4 linked regions of the Saccharomyces cerevisiae S288C genome follow. The gene in region 3 interacts genetically with the main gene of each other region. Each region holds a gene or a part of one and is shown on either strand. Other genes may lie near its edges.

Region 1 (3,485 bases), on a different chromosome or scaffold from region 3:
CATTCTCCAAAGCAAACATTAAGTCACTGATCAACAGAGAACAATGGTTTATCTTTGCACATTGACACATTCATCGAGGGTTTCAAAGCACTTAAAAAGAGCATGATTCAGTTCAAAAAAATGATCCTCGACAAACTTAAGTTGTGCAATTCACATCAGCATATCCATATAAAGCTTATAGTGTGATGATGAGTACTCTCATTAACTAGCTCTGTTATTCAAACTTTAAACTTCGGATACTTGACTGCTCTCTTCGTTTGTAAGTAGCTTGATTGTAGTTACATCGTCGTTCTCATCGCATCTTTTTTTATTAGTTATGAAAAATTTTTCACTTTTCACCTAGTTAGGATACCCGGCTGGATTCTTTTGTACTAACCTCTATGGATTTCGTGGTCCTCTCATGTCACGTCAAAATTTCAGATCATATGTCAGGGTAACATTTATGCACTCGGAGATTGTCAAACTTATTGACGCAAGCATTTACTATTTTTCCGCACAAGCACCATGTGTGATAACATGCAGATCGCCCATCTGAGCAGTAATATCTAGTCATTATATAGTCTATCAAATGTTATACTTCCAGAATTTTTCGCCTCGGCCCAAACATGTACATTTTCTTGGTGGCTTTTTTATTCTGGCTTTCTTTTCCTCTAACGTTCAACATGGTTGAAAATGCTCTCAAGTCAAATAATAAAACACAATCATAAGAATTCAAAGATGTGCATGAGAACTCTTAACAATACATATTTTTACTGAAACACTTTGGTTAGCATCTTGTGATTACTTTATTTATATAACCTAGTCGCCCCTCCCCTGTCTGTACTGTTCTTGCAGGTAAATTCAGGAAATAATACATCCTCCACGACTACAACATGTGCAAGTACTATCCATAATAGGTGTAATCATAGAGAAGCAGTCCTAAGGAAATAAAATCAAAGAAATTAGGTAAAGGTTGGGTATTGATAGATGAAAATGTTTTTGCAAGTTAAAAAGGAAAATATGCACATTCTCTTATAACCAAATTCGTCTGACATCGATATATCTTTTCATATAAAGTTCTTCCCCTTTACCATTCACTCCATGATGTCGTACCTGTTACACTACAGTGCCTGCTTGATTGCGCATTCATAATGGCTGTACACCGTTTACCCAATGCATTCTCGTCTGCAAAGAGAAGGATATACATCTTTTTCTGGTAATAACATGTACCGATTAGGAAATTAAGACCCTGCTTTCACGCGTGCTCCTACCATTTCCGGTAATAAAAGTTCGGGTAAGATTTCTTTTCCAAACGAGCTTACGTGTCGCATCGACAAATATGGCGAGTGCTCTTATATAAGTAGGCAACATCTAAAAAGAATGGACATCTTTTTTTTCAGTGTGAAGACGTTATCGTGTGAGTATTAATAAAGAGTTGTAATTTGATAATAAGATAACCAAGGAGTAAATATATAAAGTTCACCACTGCTCTGTTATCTCTTTTTTATAGAGTTCGGAAATCCTCACAGATTATAACCAACTAATCGTCATTCATTTCAAAAAAAAAAAAAAAGGAAGAATTAGAGCTCTTCCACAATAGTGGCTATTCCAGGCATAATTTCAAATCAAGTGGCAATTTTACGCTCCTCATTCATTTTCCTGTATTATACTTTAATTATTCTTATTTCGCTTTTTTTCTCAAGGTGACCTGTTGTATCACGTTAGCTGAAATGGAAAACTTATGCCCTCCACCTCCTTCCCAAATGAAGGATTTTTCCACTCCTCCAAGAAACAGGCATCGTCACAAAAGATCCTTTGCTATATCTGGAGATTTTGAATTCTTAAAACAACCTGCCTCTGCGCCTGTTTTGCCTTCTGCGTACGACTCACCTACCTTCGAAAATACACCAAGAAGAGTAAGCGGTATGAGCGTAACAATGCCTGATGAATCTCAAAATGAATCAGCATTACTAAACTCACCAAGCCCAAGGTTTTTTATTAGCGAAGCATCCACATATTCATCACCAATTAAAGGAGTGCCGGACGCTATCATTAATTTGGATGATGTGCTCATTAATAAACCAAAAATGTGTAGATCACATCGCAAAACCAAATCAGTACCAGTAAAATTGGACGAATTTTATTCCTCCCATAAATGTAGCTCAGTACCAGAATTAACTATAAATGAAGAAATAGATGAAGATGACACCAACCCTCAGTTGCTGGAGCCCGTAAAACCATTATCATCAACTTCTCTATCTACTGATATGAATGAAGATAAAAAAATGACACTAAAAAATGCCAGGAGCCATAACTCGTTAAAAATTCAGGCACAAAAGCAAAGGTACTACAACTCAGCAAGGTATCTGCCTTTGAATAGTGAGGACCGAGCAACAGATCCACAAATTTTAACGAAGCAAAGCTCTGTTACGTCTTTATTTTCTTCTAGGTCAATTACACCTGTATCTTGTAACATTAACAATGCGGGTAGAATCAATGCAATCAGTGGTAATTATCTAGATGACGTCCTTTATGACCTTGACACCCCTGCCACAACTCTAATTCAGGATATTGATAACCTTCAAACTAGTATCAACGAAAGGGTTAGGTTGTCACCACAATCCTCGTCGATAAAAAAGTATTTTTCCAAAGATGGAAAATCTGTTAGCAGCTTCAATTTCCAGTCTCAGGAGTGCGATATGGTATCTTTTACTGAGGATTTTGCCCATGTAACATCATTGTCTTCTTCTATTCTTGACTCTGAGAAACAAACAGACGACGAAGAAGAAGAGAGTATTCCGGAAGAAATACTACGAGGAGAACCCCTCCACGTATACAACGAAACTAGTGGATCTGATAAAAGTGTCATTTTGCCGACGAAACAAAAATCTGCTCCCATTAACAAGGATAGTAAGCACAGTTCAACTCAGTATGAAGAAAAATCTTTTAAGAAGAATAGAAAGTTCAAAATTTTCGCCAAGTTATTCTGCACTAGGAAATAGTAGAATAAATTTAAGATATATAGACCACTCGATACCCCATCACCTGCATAATTATAGAAAAAATAAATACTAATAGATACCCGATTTATAACACTAGACATTACAATATACGAATTTCATAATAAAATTTTAAGTTCAGACTATAGATAAATAAATAATATGAAGTAAACGTTTCAAGCAAACGCTTATATATATATAGAGAGATAATAAAGGATATGATTTAGTCTCTGTCCCTTCTTTCAAATGAATATTTAATGCCTTTTTTTTTTCGGGTTGTGTGTTCGTGGTGATTTTTTTATTCTTCTTTTCATTTGGAGACCTCTATGTTGTCTAACTCGTCCTTCTCCTTAGCTGCAGCTTCAGCTTCTAATATGTATGGCAACAGGTAAGGAACATCCTCTTGGGCTTTGATCCATTCGTTTCTTGGCAGTAAATGATGAGTCAACTCGGTTTGATGAGCCCTGATTATTCTATATGCTCTGGCATAAGATTCATCTTCAGGGA
Region 2 (3,225 bases), on a different chromosome or scaffold from region 3:
GTCAGCTGAATGATATCACCAAACTAGTGCAGGAAAGGTTGGATGCTCTTAGAAAAATCTTTCAGAGATTAGAGAAAAAAGAACCCATAACGAACCGCGACATTCACGGTGCAGACTTGAGTGGTACCATTGATGATTCTATTGAATCAGACTCCCAAGAAATTTTGCAGAGGAAATTGGACCAACTGCACATTAAGAACAGAAATAACTATTTAGTCAACTATAACGATTTGAAGTTGGGCCACGATTTGGACAATGGCCGCAGTGGAAATAGTGGTCATAATACCGATACTTCCAGAGCTTGGGGTCCCTTTGTTGAAAGTGAACTAAAATATAAACTGAAAAACAAATCCAATTCCTCCTCATTTCTGAACTTCTCTCATTTTTTAAACAGCAGTTCCAGCTCAATGTCCTCTTCCTCAAATGCGGGAAAGAATAATCATGATTTAACGGGAAATAAAGAAAGGACAGGGCTAATACTAGTAAAGGCGAAAATTCCAAAACAGGGCCTACCATATTGGGCTCCCTCATTATTGAGAAAGACCAATGTTTTTGAATCTAAGAGTAAACACGACCAAGAAAATTGGGTGAGATTGTCTGAGTTGATTCCGGAAGACGTAAAAAAACCATTGGAAAAACTTGATTTACAATTGACTTGCATAGAATCCGATAATAGCTTACCTCATGATCCGCCAGAAATTCAATCGATTACCACAGAACTGATATGTATAACTGCTAAATCTGATAATTCTATCCCAATAAAACTCAATTCTGAACTGTTGATGAACAAAGAGAAGCTGACAAGCATCAAAGCTTTGTACGATGATTTCCATTCAAAAATTTGTGAATATGAAACCAAGTTCAACAAGAATTTTCTTGAATTAAATGAGTTATATAATATGAATAGGGGAGACCGTAGGCCAAAGGAACTGAAATTTACAGATTTTATTACTTCACAGCTGTTTAACGATATCGAAAGCATTTGCAACTTGAAAGTTAGTGTTCACAACTTATCCAACATTTTTAAAAAACAGGTCAGTACCCTAAAACAACACTCAAAGCACGCATTATCTGAGGATTCAATATCGCACACAGGTAACGGTAGTTCATCGTCGCCCAGTTCAGCGTCATTAACGCCAGTAACTTCTTCATCCAAGAGTAGTTTATTTTTACCTAGCGGTAGCTCGTCTACTTCCCTGAAATTTACAGACCAGATTGTTCATAAATGGGTTAGGATTGCTCCTTTACAGTACAAACGAGACATTAATGTGAACTTGGAATTTAATAAGGACATTAAGGAAACTTTAATTCCAAGTTTTGAAAGCTGCCTATGTTGTAGGTTTTATTGCGTTCGAGTAATGATTAAATTTGAAAACCATCTTGGCGTAGCGAAGATTGATATCCCTATTTCTGTTAGGCAAGTGACAAAATAAAAAAACATTAGAAAAAATTCTCGTTACTTTTCTTATAGATATAGATATATGTATGGTTTGCTTATAGATGAAGGTATTTATCGCGTCCTTTGTATTCCCTATTATTAATAAAATTCTTTTAAAATGCATTTTCTGGTGCTCTTTTGTTGCTTCTGTATTTTTTTTTTTTTGGACCACTGGATGGAAAACCTTTGATGATTTTATTACCTTTATTTTAAGTTACTAAAATATCGAGATTTCAGGAACAAAACATAGAATTTTCTTTGTCAAGAAAAATAAAACGAAATAAATTGATGCTTTGACTACTGACTGTCTGTCATAGAGAGAACCAGAACAGCAATGCTACAATTCTCAACATTTCTAGTGCTCCTATACATCTCCATATCCTATGTGCTACCGCTATATGCAACTTCACAACCAGAAGGGTCTAAACGAGATAATCCTCGAACGATTAAATCTCGCATGCAAAAACTTACAATTATGCTAATTTCCAACCTTTTTTTGGTGCCTTTTTTACAATCTCAATTATCTAGTACCACTTCACATATAAGTTTCAAGGACGCATTTTTAGGCTTAGGTATTATCCCAGGTTATTACGCTGCATTGCCAAACCCTTGGCAATTCAGCCAGTTCGTGAAAGACTTAACGAAATGTGTTGCGATGTTATTGACCTTATATTGTGGACCCGTTTTAGATTTTGTATTATATCATTTATTAAATCCAAAGAGCTCTATACTTGAAGATTTTTACCATGAATTCCTGAATATTTGGAGTTTCAGGAATTTTATATTTGCACCAATAACTGAGGAAATATTTTACACGTCAATGCTTTTGACTACGTACTTAAACCTAATACCGCATTCGCAACTAAGCTATCAACAGTTATTTTGGCAACCATCGCTTTTTTTTGGACTTGCGCACGCACACCATGCTTATGAGCAATTACAGGAAGGCTCCATGACAACTGTTTCCATTCTGCTGACAACATGCTTCCAAATTTTATACACAACACTTTTTGGAGGGTTAACCAAGTTTGTATTCGTAAGAACAGGCGGGAACCTATGGTGCTGCATAATCCTGCATGCCCTTTGCAATATCATGGGGTTTCCTGGTCCTTCAAGATTGAATTTACATTTCACAGTAGTAGACAAGAAAGCTGGACGCATTTCCAAATTGGTCTCAATCTGGAATAAGTGCTACTTCGCACTGCTGGTCCTTGGATTAATATCCCTGAAGGATACCTTACAAACTCTGGTAGGAACTCCTGGTTATAGAATAACCCTTTAGCCTTTTTTACGTACTTGTATACCGTTTAAAATTTCCTATGTACTATAACCTTTTTTCACTACTATTATGGAATTCTATCGAGCGACCGGGCTTTTGTTACGGAAGAGTGAAAAAATCGAGTTTTGGTGTTTTGGTGAAAGAATTTGGAGGACTATAAAGTACCTATACTTTGTATTACGGACTCAATAACAAGTCGTTCGTGTCAGTGGTATTGAAGTTGTCAGATCTAAGAGTAGAGAGAAGGTGGCATCTAATAGGTTTCGACGTTTTTCTTTTTTTAAGGTTTTTATTTGGTCTCCTAGAATTTAAGGTCTTAGTTAGTTTTGGTTTGTTTTGTGGGTTACATATTTTCAATTCAAAGGAGAATTTAGCTGTCTTTTATAATGTCCAATAGAGATAACGAGAGCATGCTGCGTACTACATCAAGCGATAAGGCGATCGCTAGTCAAAGGGATAAACGGAAGTCTGAAGTTTTGATTGCTGCACAGTCCCTTGACAATGAAAT
Region 3 (3,128 bases):
GCAAATTCCTTTGTGATACAGGTATCATTTCTGCAATTCCTCGTAGATTGTTGATCATACCATAAGATTGATGCTGGGGAAAGTGGAGAAGCTAACTTAACGATTGAGGCCTTGGCAAACCCTGTTAAACCAGTACTATCGGCCTTAACATGCGACTTAGAGAGAGAGAGAGAGAGAGATGTTTGCGTTTGCGTCATGATAGAGATGCTACATCCACATAGTTGTTGTAGACATGTTTAAAGGTACAATTCTGCAACAACGCCTTGAAATTTTCCAAAACTAACCAAGCACATTGGAGTTACGCTTATATAGTAAGCCACTTCACTTGCGTTGCTGTAAAGGTTGATAACTACAGGTAGGAATTAATGAATGTTAAATAAAAAAGGGAAATACCATCATCTCGACAAGAAAGGCAAAATAACTTTTCAATCTCACCAAGACGCGCGAACGAAACTCGTGCGTCTATATTAGTATCTTGACGGCGCTTTTACATCATTAAAGGTGTAATAAAACTGAAGTCATGCGATGGCACTGAAATAATCAAAGTAACTATTTGTGATGGCATGCACTGTGATATGATCTCAAGGAAAAAAATGCAATGTCGGGCGCCAATACTTATGATCATGCTTAGTCTCGACATTGACCTTGCTTGCTACAGTAATCTGGTGTCCGAGTAGTGACATCTAGGTACCGGTGAGAACTATATCTTCATTACTACACTTGTCGCCCCTGAATATTATCGCTACACACGCGAAAGAGCTCTTGTTAAAGTTACTCTCGCATCATTGCGGTACATGTTTTGCATATTCATCTGAAGTAGGAAAGGGTATAAGCAGTATATGATGTACCATCTGCATAAGCGGTGTTTAATGCGTACCTATCGTTTAAGAACAAAAGGAACACACCCACACCCGCTCCAATACCATATTGAGAGAATAATGAGGTAACATATGCTTCTATTTGGTTCGATAAGACGGCTACTAGTCCAAAAAAAGTCAAACAACAATTTCAACAGCTACATTCTGAAGATAGAACGCATTTTTGCCTGAATATTGCAACTCAATAGACATTCTAAAGTGCTACGAGAAAAAAGCTTGTAATGGACCATGGCAATGTGCGCCATATATATATGCGGCTCCCTTATGAGTAGAAGAAAATATATGACTGGTGGTACAAAGTGGCATGGTGGTATATAGATGTAGGAACACCATTTGAGTTTGCCATAATGATTAAATTTCCCTTTTTATAAAGAATTAGCCGCCCATAACACGAAAAATATCACAGTTGACGAAAGAAGACACGTCGCCTAAACGCGTAATGAATCGCAATATACGAAAAGCTAAACGGGTTTTTCAGAATCCTCTTACCCAGCCTTGGATAATAGTTTTGGCCGAAAAAAAAAAAAAGAAAGAAAAAAATTGAAATTTCGCGATCCGAACAAACAATGAACAGAAAAACAGAATATATATAACGCTGCCAAGCCTATTTCTTGTTGCCGATTAATTGTTGACATCCTCTTAATTACCAAAAGAGCCTAAGAAAACAAACACACTAACCACACAGTATCTTTCGCCCGAATGTCTGAATTGAAAACAGGTCATGCAGGCCATAACCCTTGGGCTTCAGTTGCCAATTCCGGTCCGATCTCTATTTTATCCTACTGTGGTTCCTCTATTTTAATGACGGTGACTAACAAGTTCGTCGTCAATTTGAAGGATTTCAACATGAACTTTGTCATGCTTTTCGTGCAATCTTTGGTTTGTACTATAACCTTGATTATCCTACGTATACTGGGCTATGCGAAGTTCCGTTCATTAAACAAAACAGACGCCAAGAACTGGTTCCCTATTTCCTTTTTACTGGTCTTGATGATCTACACCTCTTCGAAGGCTTTACAATACTTGGCTGTTCCAATTTACACCATTTTCAAGAATTTGACTATTATCTTGATTGCTTATGGTGAGGTTCTCTTTTTTGGTGGCTCTGTCACCTCCATGGAATTGTCATCATTTTTGTTGATGGTCCTTTCTTCTGTCGTTGCAACTTGGGGTGACCAGCAAGCTGTGGCTGCCAAGGCTGCTTCATTGGCTGAAGGAGCAGCCGGTGCTGTTGCCTCCTTTAACCCAGGTTATTTCTGGATGTTCACCAACTGTATCACTTCTGCATTATTCGTTCTTATAATGAGAAAGAGAATTAAGTTAACTAACTTCAAGGATTTCGACACTATGTTTTACAACAATGTTTTGGCTCTACCTATTCTATTGCTGTTTTCTTTCTGTGTGGAAGATTGGTCTTCAGTTAATTTGACCAATAACTTTTCTAACGATTCGCTAACTGCTATGATCATCAGTGGTGTTGCATCCGTCGGTATTTCTTACTGTTCCGGTTGGTGTGTTCGTGTTACTTCGTCTACTACATATTCGATGGTAGGGGCTTTGAACAAGCTGCCAATTGCCTTGTCTGGTTTGATTTTCTTTGATGCTCCAAGAAACTTCTTATCTATTCTCTCCATTTTTATTGGTTTCCTATCAGGTATTATTTATGCTGTTGCCAAACAAAAGAAGCAACAAGCCCAACCTTTACGTAAATGAGAACTTACGGGGGGTGCAATTTATTTTTTTTTTTTGGTTTATTTTATTTTATAGAGGCATCTAATGCAAGTAGATTTATATACAATTATACTTAAAATTGATATACCTTAGAACAGGTCGGACACAACGTGTGGTAACTCCAATATATCACTAATGACAATAGCGCCTTCTGGTGTTTGCCCCAAAATTTCATTTACTTCATTCTCAACTAAATGAATACATGTTTTCATGCCCAATTTGATACCTGTCTCGATGTTTTTCCCACTGTCATCTATAAAATAAGCATTCTCGTATCTTGCCAACCCGCTTTCCTTCATGGCTTTTTCAAATGCTTTAACATGTGGTTTGCAGACCAGCGTATCTGTCCTAGAGTAGTCACAATATGTCAATCCATCAAATAAATCCGCTATACCCAACAATCTCAGGCAACGTATTGCGTGGTTTTTATAAGCGTTGGTGAAAAGCCACAATTTATCAATCTTTCCCGATTGTCTCAATCTCAACAGCATATTCCTTAATGGTATATCAGGTTTCAAG
Region 4 (4,611 bases), on a different chromosome or scaffold from region 3:
GTTCTCCATATTTGGCATTTTCATGGTTCGAGACAATATTGAAAAATGTTGGAAAGCCCAAAGTTTTCATTACTGGATTTGACGTGAAGAACGGTAAGCCTGATCCCGAGGGTTACTCAAGAGCTCGTGATTTATTGCGTCAAGATTTGCAATTAACTGGTAAACAGGATCTGAAGTATGTTGTCTTTGAAGATGCACCCGTGGGCATAAAGGCCGGCAAAGCAATGGGCGCAATTACTGTGGGTATAACATCCTCGTATGATAAGAGCGTTTTATTTGACGCAGGTGCAGATTATGTGGTCTGTGATTTGACACAGGTTTCCGTGGTTAAGAACAATGAGAACGGTATCGTTATCCAGGTAAACAACCCTTTGACGAGAGATTAAATAAATAAGGACATCGCAGAAGCACGAATATATAGATAAAATTGTATGTAAAAGCAAAAGTTGAACTGCGTATGATTTCTTATAGTGAGTATGAAATTTTTTTTTTTTTTGGTTATCTAACTTATTTTTCTTTGATACAGATCGTGTGGTTGAACAACCGCGCCGAAGGCTTGATCAGTGGGCTGATTACCAGACATCTTCTTGGTATCTACCTGAAGTCTTGAGCATCTTGATTAGCTCTGTTGCTTCATCAGTGGTAATGGATTTACCACGGGATAAGATGCCAACCAATGCGGTTGACACACCCTTGGCCATACCCTTTGCATCACCACAGACGTAGATAAATGCACCGTTGTTAATCATTTCAAATACTTGGTCTTCGTAATCCTTTAATTTATCTTGAACATAAACTTTTTTGGTGTTTGGCAACCTGGAATGGGCCACGACCATTTCGAACGAACCATCCAATTTTTTGGCGTATTCTGGCCATTCGTCCTGGTACAAGAAATCATCAGTGTTACGGGATCCATAAAACAGTATATGCTTACCTAGCGAAACGTTGTTACCGCCCTTCTTTTGTGATTCGAGGAACGCGACACGCTCTCTGATAAACCCACGGAATGGGGCAACACCGGTACCTGGACCGATCATGATAACTGGGGTGGAAGGGTTGGAAGGCAATCTGAAGTTAGAACGACGAACGTGGACGGGCAATTTGTAATTGGCGAAAAGTTTACGTGGGCCATTTAAATCGTAGTGAACAGGTAGGTTAGTTTCGGCAATGTTAACATTGTTTTGAGCCAATTGAATGTTTCTTAACAAGTTAGTCGTAACACCAACAACTGGAGGAGCATCAGGCAATTCTGGGTTAGGAAAGTTTTCCACAATGGAGGTGACATGGACGGTTTGCTTTTCAGACAGAGAAGAGGAAGAGATAGAGTAGTAACGAGGAGTCATTTGGGGAACTGATTCGACCAAGAATTGCATGGGTACGGTGTCCCATTTGGCGCCATCAGACAAATATTTCAGAGCATCTGCGATGTTGAAATATTTGGAGGTTATCTCGACGGCGAATTGGTCCTTGTCTTTCGAAAGCAGAGTCAATTTTTCCTTGACGTCAGCGTTGGGGGCGAACTGAATCAAAGATGAAAACAATTGTCTGGAGACAGGTCCTGTAATTTCCAAATAGTGTTTAATAGCAGCGCCAATAGTAGTTGGCGTTGGGAAGGGCACTTTGACGGTGGGATCCAGGGGCTTCAAGTCAAAAATGGTTTCAGGGTCCAGGTTGAATATGGATAAGAACTGTTCGACCTTTTCCAATGGGTTGGAAGGCCAAACAGCAAGATGGTCACCAGTGGAGTACTTGATGTTAGAGCCGGACAAGTCAAATTCAGAGTGGATGCAATTACGGTCATTGGAAGAGAACAGTTCGCGAGATTTCACGATGGGTGCAATATACGGTTGAGACAAATCGAAGGGACCCAATTGGATGCCGTCTGCGTTGCGGTTCAACTGATGCGAGGGCAAATAGTGAGCAGAGGGTTCACCAAGCGACATGGAGTCAGTGATTTCGTTCAACACAGTGTACTGGAATTGAGAGGTGAACTTGGCTTCCTGTTCGTCCAAATGCAGTTCGTCTTTCAAAACCTCCAGGATGGAGTCCTTCCAGGCCATGTAATCTTCGTCTGTAGTTCCTGCACCATCATCAGCTTCACCGAGCTTGCCTAGTCTGATAGCGCCCGCGGCGGAGAGATGCTTCTCGGCCTTCTTGGCGGCACCATTAAAGAATTCATAAGTAGAATTTCCCAGACCAAACATATTATACCTCAGGTTCGATAGTGCACCCGCTTCCGCATTACAAATAAAGTCTTCAAAGTTGACCGCCCCGTCGGGGAAGTCTCCTTCACCATATGTAGAGATAAAAATCGAGACTATGACGGGCACATCGTTTAGCGACTCAAAGTCGTAGTTCTCAACATCTGCGCACATCACGTTTAGGTTGAACTTGGCCACCAGCTCCTTGGAAAACTTTTTGGCGTAATCCTCGGCAGTCCCAGTCTGCGACGCATACAACACCAAGTAGTTCTTGTTGTTTTCGGTCACCACCTGAGCAATGTCTCTGTTGCCCGAGCTGACAGCTGTGATATCTCCGTCATCGGACATCAGCAGTTCCTTGATGGAGTTTCTCTTTACGTACAGTAGCACGGCAAGCACTAGCCCCGCCAGGACAGTGAAGTCGGTGTTGTCTATTCCAAACGGCATGATATGTGCGACAGTAGATCACTTGAAAACCGCGGTCGTTGTCTAGCGTAGCGGTGACCACTACAGGAACGCAAACTTAAGCTACATTGTTCACCATATTATACTATATATATAACCTCGCGCTGAGCTTTACAGGTGCGTTTGTCCTCGAAGAACGAAAAGCAGCCCGAAAAAAAAATGCAAAACGATAAAAGCTGGCTGGAGAACAATAGCGGGTTGACCGCTAAACGAGCACACACGTGATGTGTCGTGAACTGTGATCGTGGTAGTATGATGCTAGTATGTAGTGATGGCTGCATGGTACCAGCGGTGACGTTCGGTAGACTCTACTCTCCTTTGTTCCCCCGGTGTGCCATCTTTTGAGTTTTGCGTGCGTTATCTACTGGGAGCAAGGGTCTGGCTCGTACGCATAGAGGCTGAGGACGAACAGTGTGCGTTTGCAGGCGTGGATATAGAATACATAGCTATATAGATGGGTAGTGCGCATGGGAAAGTGCAATTGAGCGAAGGAAGGGGCAGGTGGACTGTAGATGTCGCCGCGTGATTTTATCGTTGTTTCTCTTCTTGTGTTTTCTTATGCGTTAGTATGCCAGTTTCGCGGTGTGATTCCCAAAGTGAAATTTTACTGGAAGAGCAAATCTTGTAAGTCGGCGCTCGAAAGCACAGTAGCAATCCATCATGGGAAAATCAGCGTATGTAAAGCTGGAGCGTCCTTCGTGGCGCATCGGAATTTCTTCAATTGAACTACCTGTTGCTAACAACAGTTTTTTTTTTCTCTCTTTTATGTATATAGCGTTATATTCGTGGAAAGAGCCACTCCCGCTACACTAACGGAACTGAAGGATGCTCTCTCGAATAGTATCCTGTCCGTGCGAGACCCTTGGTCGATAGACTTTCGGACGTACCGGTGCTCTATCAAGAACCTACCCGCGGATGTCTCCAAGCTCATGTACTCGATAACGTTCCACCACCATGGCCGGCAGACCGTGCTAATCAAGGACAACTCAGCGATGGTGACGACTGCCGCAGCGGCGGATATCCCTCCGGCGCTGGTGTTCAATGGCTCATCTACGGGCGTTCCTGAGTCCATAGACACTATTTTGTCGTCCAAGCTGTCCAACATCTGGATGCAGAGGCAGCTCATCAAGGGTGATGCCGGTGAGACGTTGATCTTGGACGGGCTCACCGTGCGACTCGTCAACCTCTTCTCCTCCACTGGGTTCAAGGGTCTCCTGATAGAACTGCAGGCGGACGAAGCGGGCGAGTTTGAGACCAAGATTGCAGGCATCGAAGGACACCTAGCTGAAATCCGGGCCAAGGAGTACAAAACCTCATCCGACTCGTTGGGGCCGGACACCAGCAACGAAATATGTGATTTGGCGTACCAGTATGTTCGTGCTCTGGAGCTGTGAGTTCTTACGAATGCTTTTTCTTTTTTTTTTTTTCTGTTTGTATATTGCGGTGTATACGTATAGATAGATAGTCTAAATAGTAATCTTCAACCTTATGTATCTCGGCTCATGCAGTGAGGAAATCCATGGATAAGCCCGGATTGTAGTCATCGTCGCTGTCGCTGTCGCTGTCGCTGGCGTCCTGTGTTTCCTTCTGTACAGGTTCTTCTGTCGGTTGAGAGTCCTCTTCAGCGTCTTCCTCCTCCCTTGCATTGTCAATAAACTTGTTCAGTGTACTCGTATGCTCAAGTGGGCGGGGTTCCTGGTGTAGCACCTCGTAGCCCTCTGGTAGGTCAGCCTCTGTCATGGCAACGAATATCGTGGGAAACTCGATCACTGTGGTGTTCTTCAACAATTCTCCGATGCATTTCTCATGTATAGCCAACTCCACCAGTTTTTTTGAATCCATTATATGCGTGGTGTTGTAAGGGAACGTTTTCGTGTAGAATTTGAGCCCACTCTTCTGTAGGATCTGTGTTCTTTCCTCTTTGGTCTCCGAACCGTCTTCGCCC

The links.
Region 1: mutations in VRG4 (region 3) and HLR1 together harm fitness more than expected from each alone (negative genetic interaction), as found in Saccharomyces cerevisiae (one large-scale study listed by BioGRID).
Region 2: mutations in VRG4 (region 3) and RCE1 together harm fitness more than expected from each alone (negative genetic interaction), as found in Saccharomyces cerevisiae (one large-scale study listed by BioGRID).
Region 4: mutations in VRG4 (region 3) and NCP1 together harm fitness less than expected from each alone (positive genetic interaction), as found in Saccharomyces cerevisiae (one large-scale study listed by BioGRID).

The regions. Positions count from the first base shown.
Region 1 is NC_001136.10:1,492,877-1,496,361, forward strand, and holds HLR1 (Hlr1p), read left to right. Parts: upstream 1-1,709; coding exon 1,710-2,981; downstream 2,982-3,485. Other genes in the region: QCR7 (ubiquinol--cytochrome-c reductase subunit 7), read right to left, coding at 3,289-3,485.
Region 2 is NC_001145.3:813,859-817,083, reverse strand, and holds RCE1 (CAAX prenyl protease), read left to right. Parts: upstream 1-1,772; coding exon 1,773-2,720; downstream 2,721-3,225. Other genes in the region: ubiquitin-ubiquitin ligase BUL1, read left to right, coding at 1-1,433; ZDS1 (Zds1p), read left to right, coding at 3,104-3,225. UniProt on the Saccharomyces cerevisiae protein: Protease involved in the processing of a variety of prenylated proteins containing the C-terminal CAAX motif, where C is a cysteine modified with an isoprenoid lipid, A is an aliphatic amino acid and X is any C-terminal amino acid.
Region 3 is NC_001139.9:75,317-78,444, forward strand, and holds VRG4 (GDP-mannose transporter), read left to right. Parts: upstream 1-1,577; coding exon 1,578-2,591; downstream 2,592-3,128. Other genes in the region: SDT1 (nucleotidase), read right to left, coding at 2,699-3,128. UniProt on the Saccharomyces cerevisiae protein: Involved in the import of GDP-mannose from the cytoplasm into the Golgi lumen. Defective copy causes severe glycosylation defect and abnormal retention of soluble endoplasmic reticulum proteins. Involved in vanadate sensitivity.
Region 4 is NC_001140.6:188,580-193,190, reverse strand, and holds NCP1 (NADPH--hemoprotein reductase), read right to left. Parts: upstream 2,649-4,611; coding exon 573-2,648; downstream 1-572. Other genes in the region: DOG2 (2-deoxyglucose-6-phosphatase), read left to right, coding at 1-386; SRB2 (Srb2p), read left to right, coding at 3,327-3,340, 3,442-4,060; BCD1 (Bcd1p), read right to left, coding at 4,167-4,611. UniProt on the Saccharomyces cerevisiae protein: This enzyme is required for electron transfer from NADP to cytochrome P450 in microsomes. It can also provide electron transfer to heme oxygenase and cytochrome B5. Involved in ergosterol biosynthesis.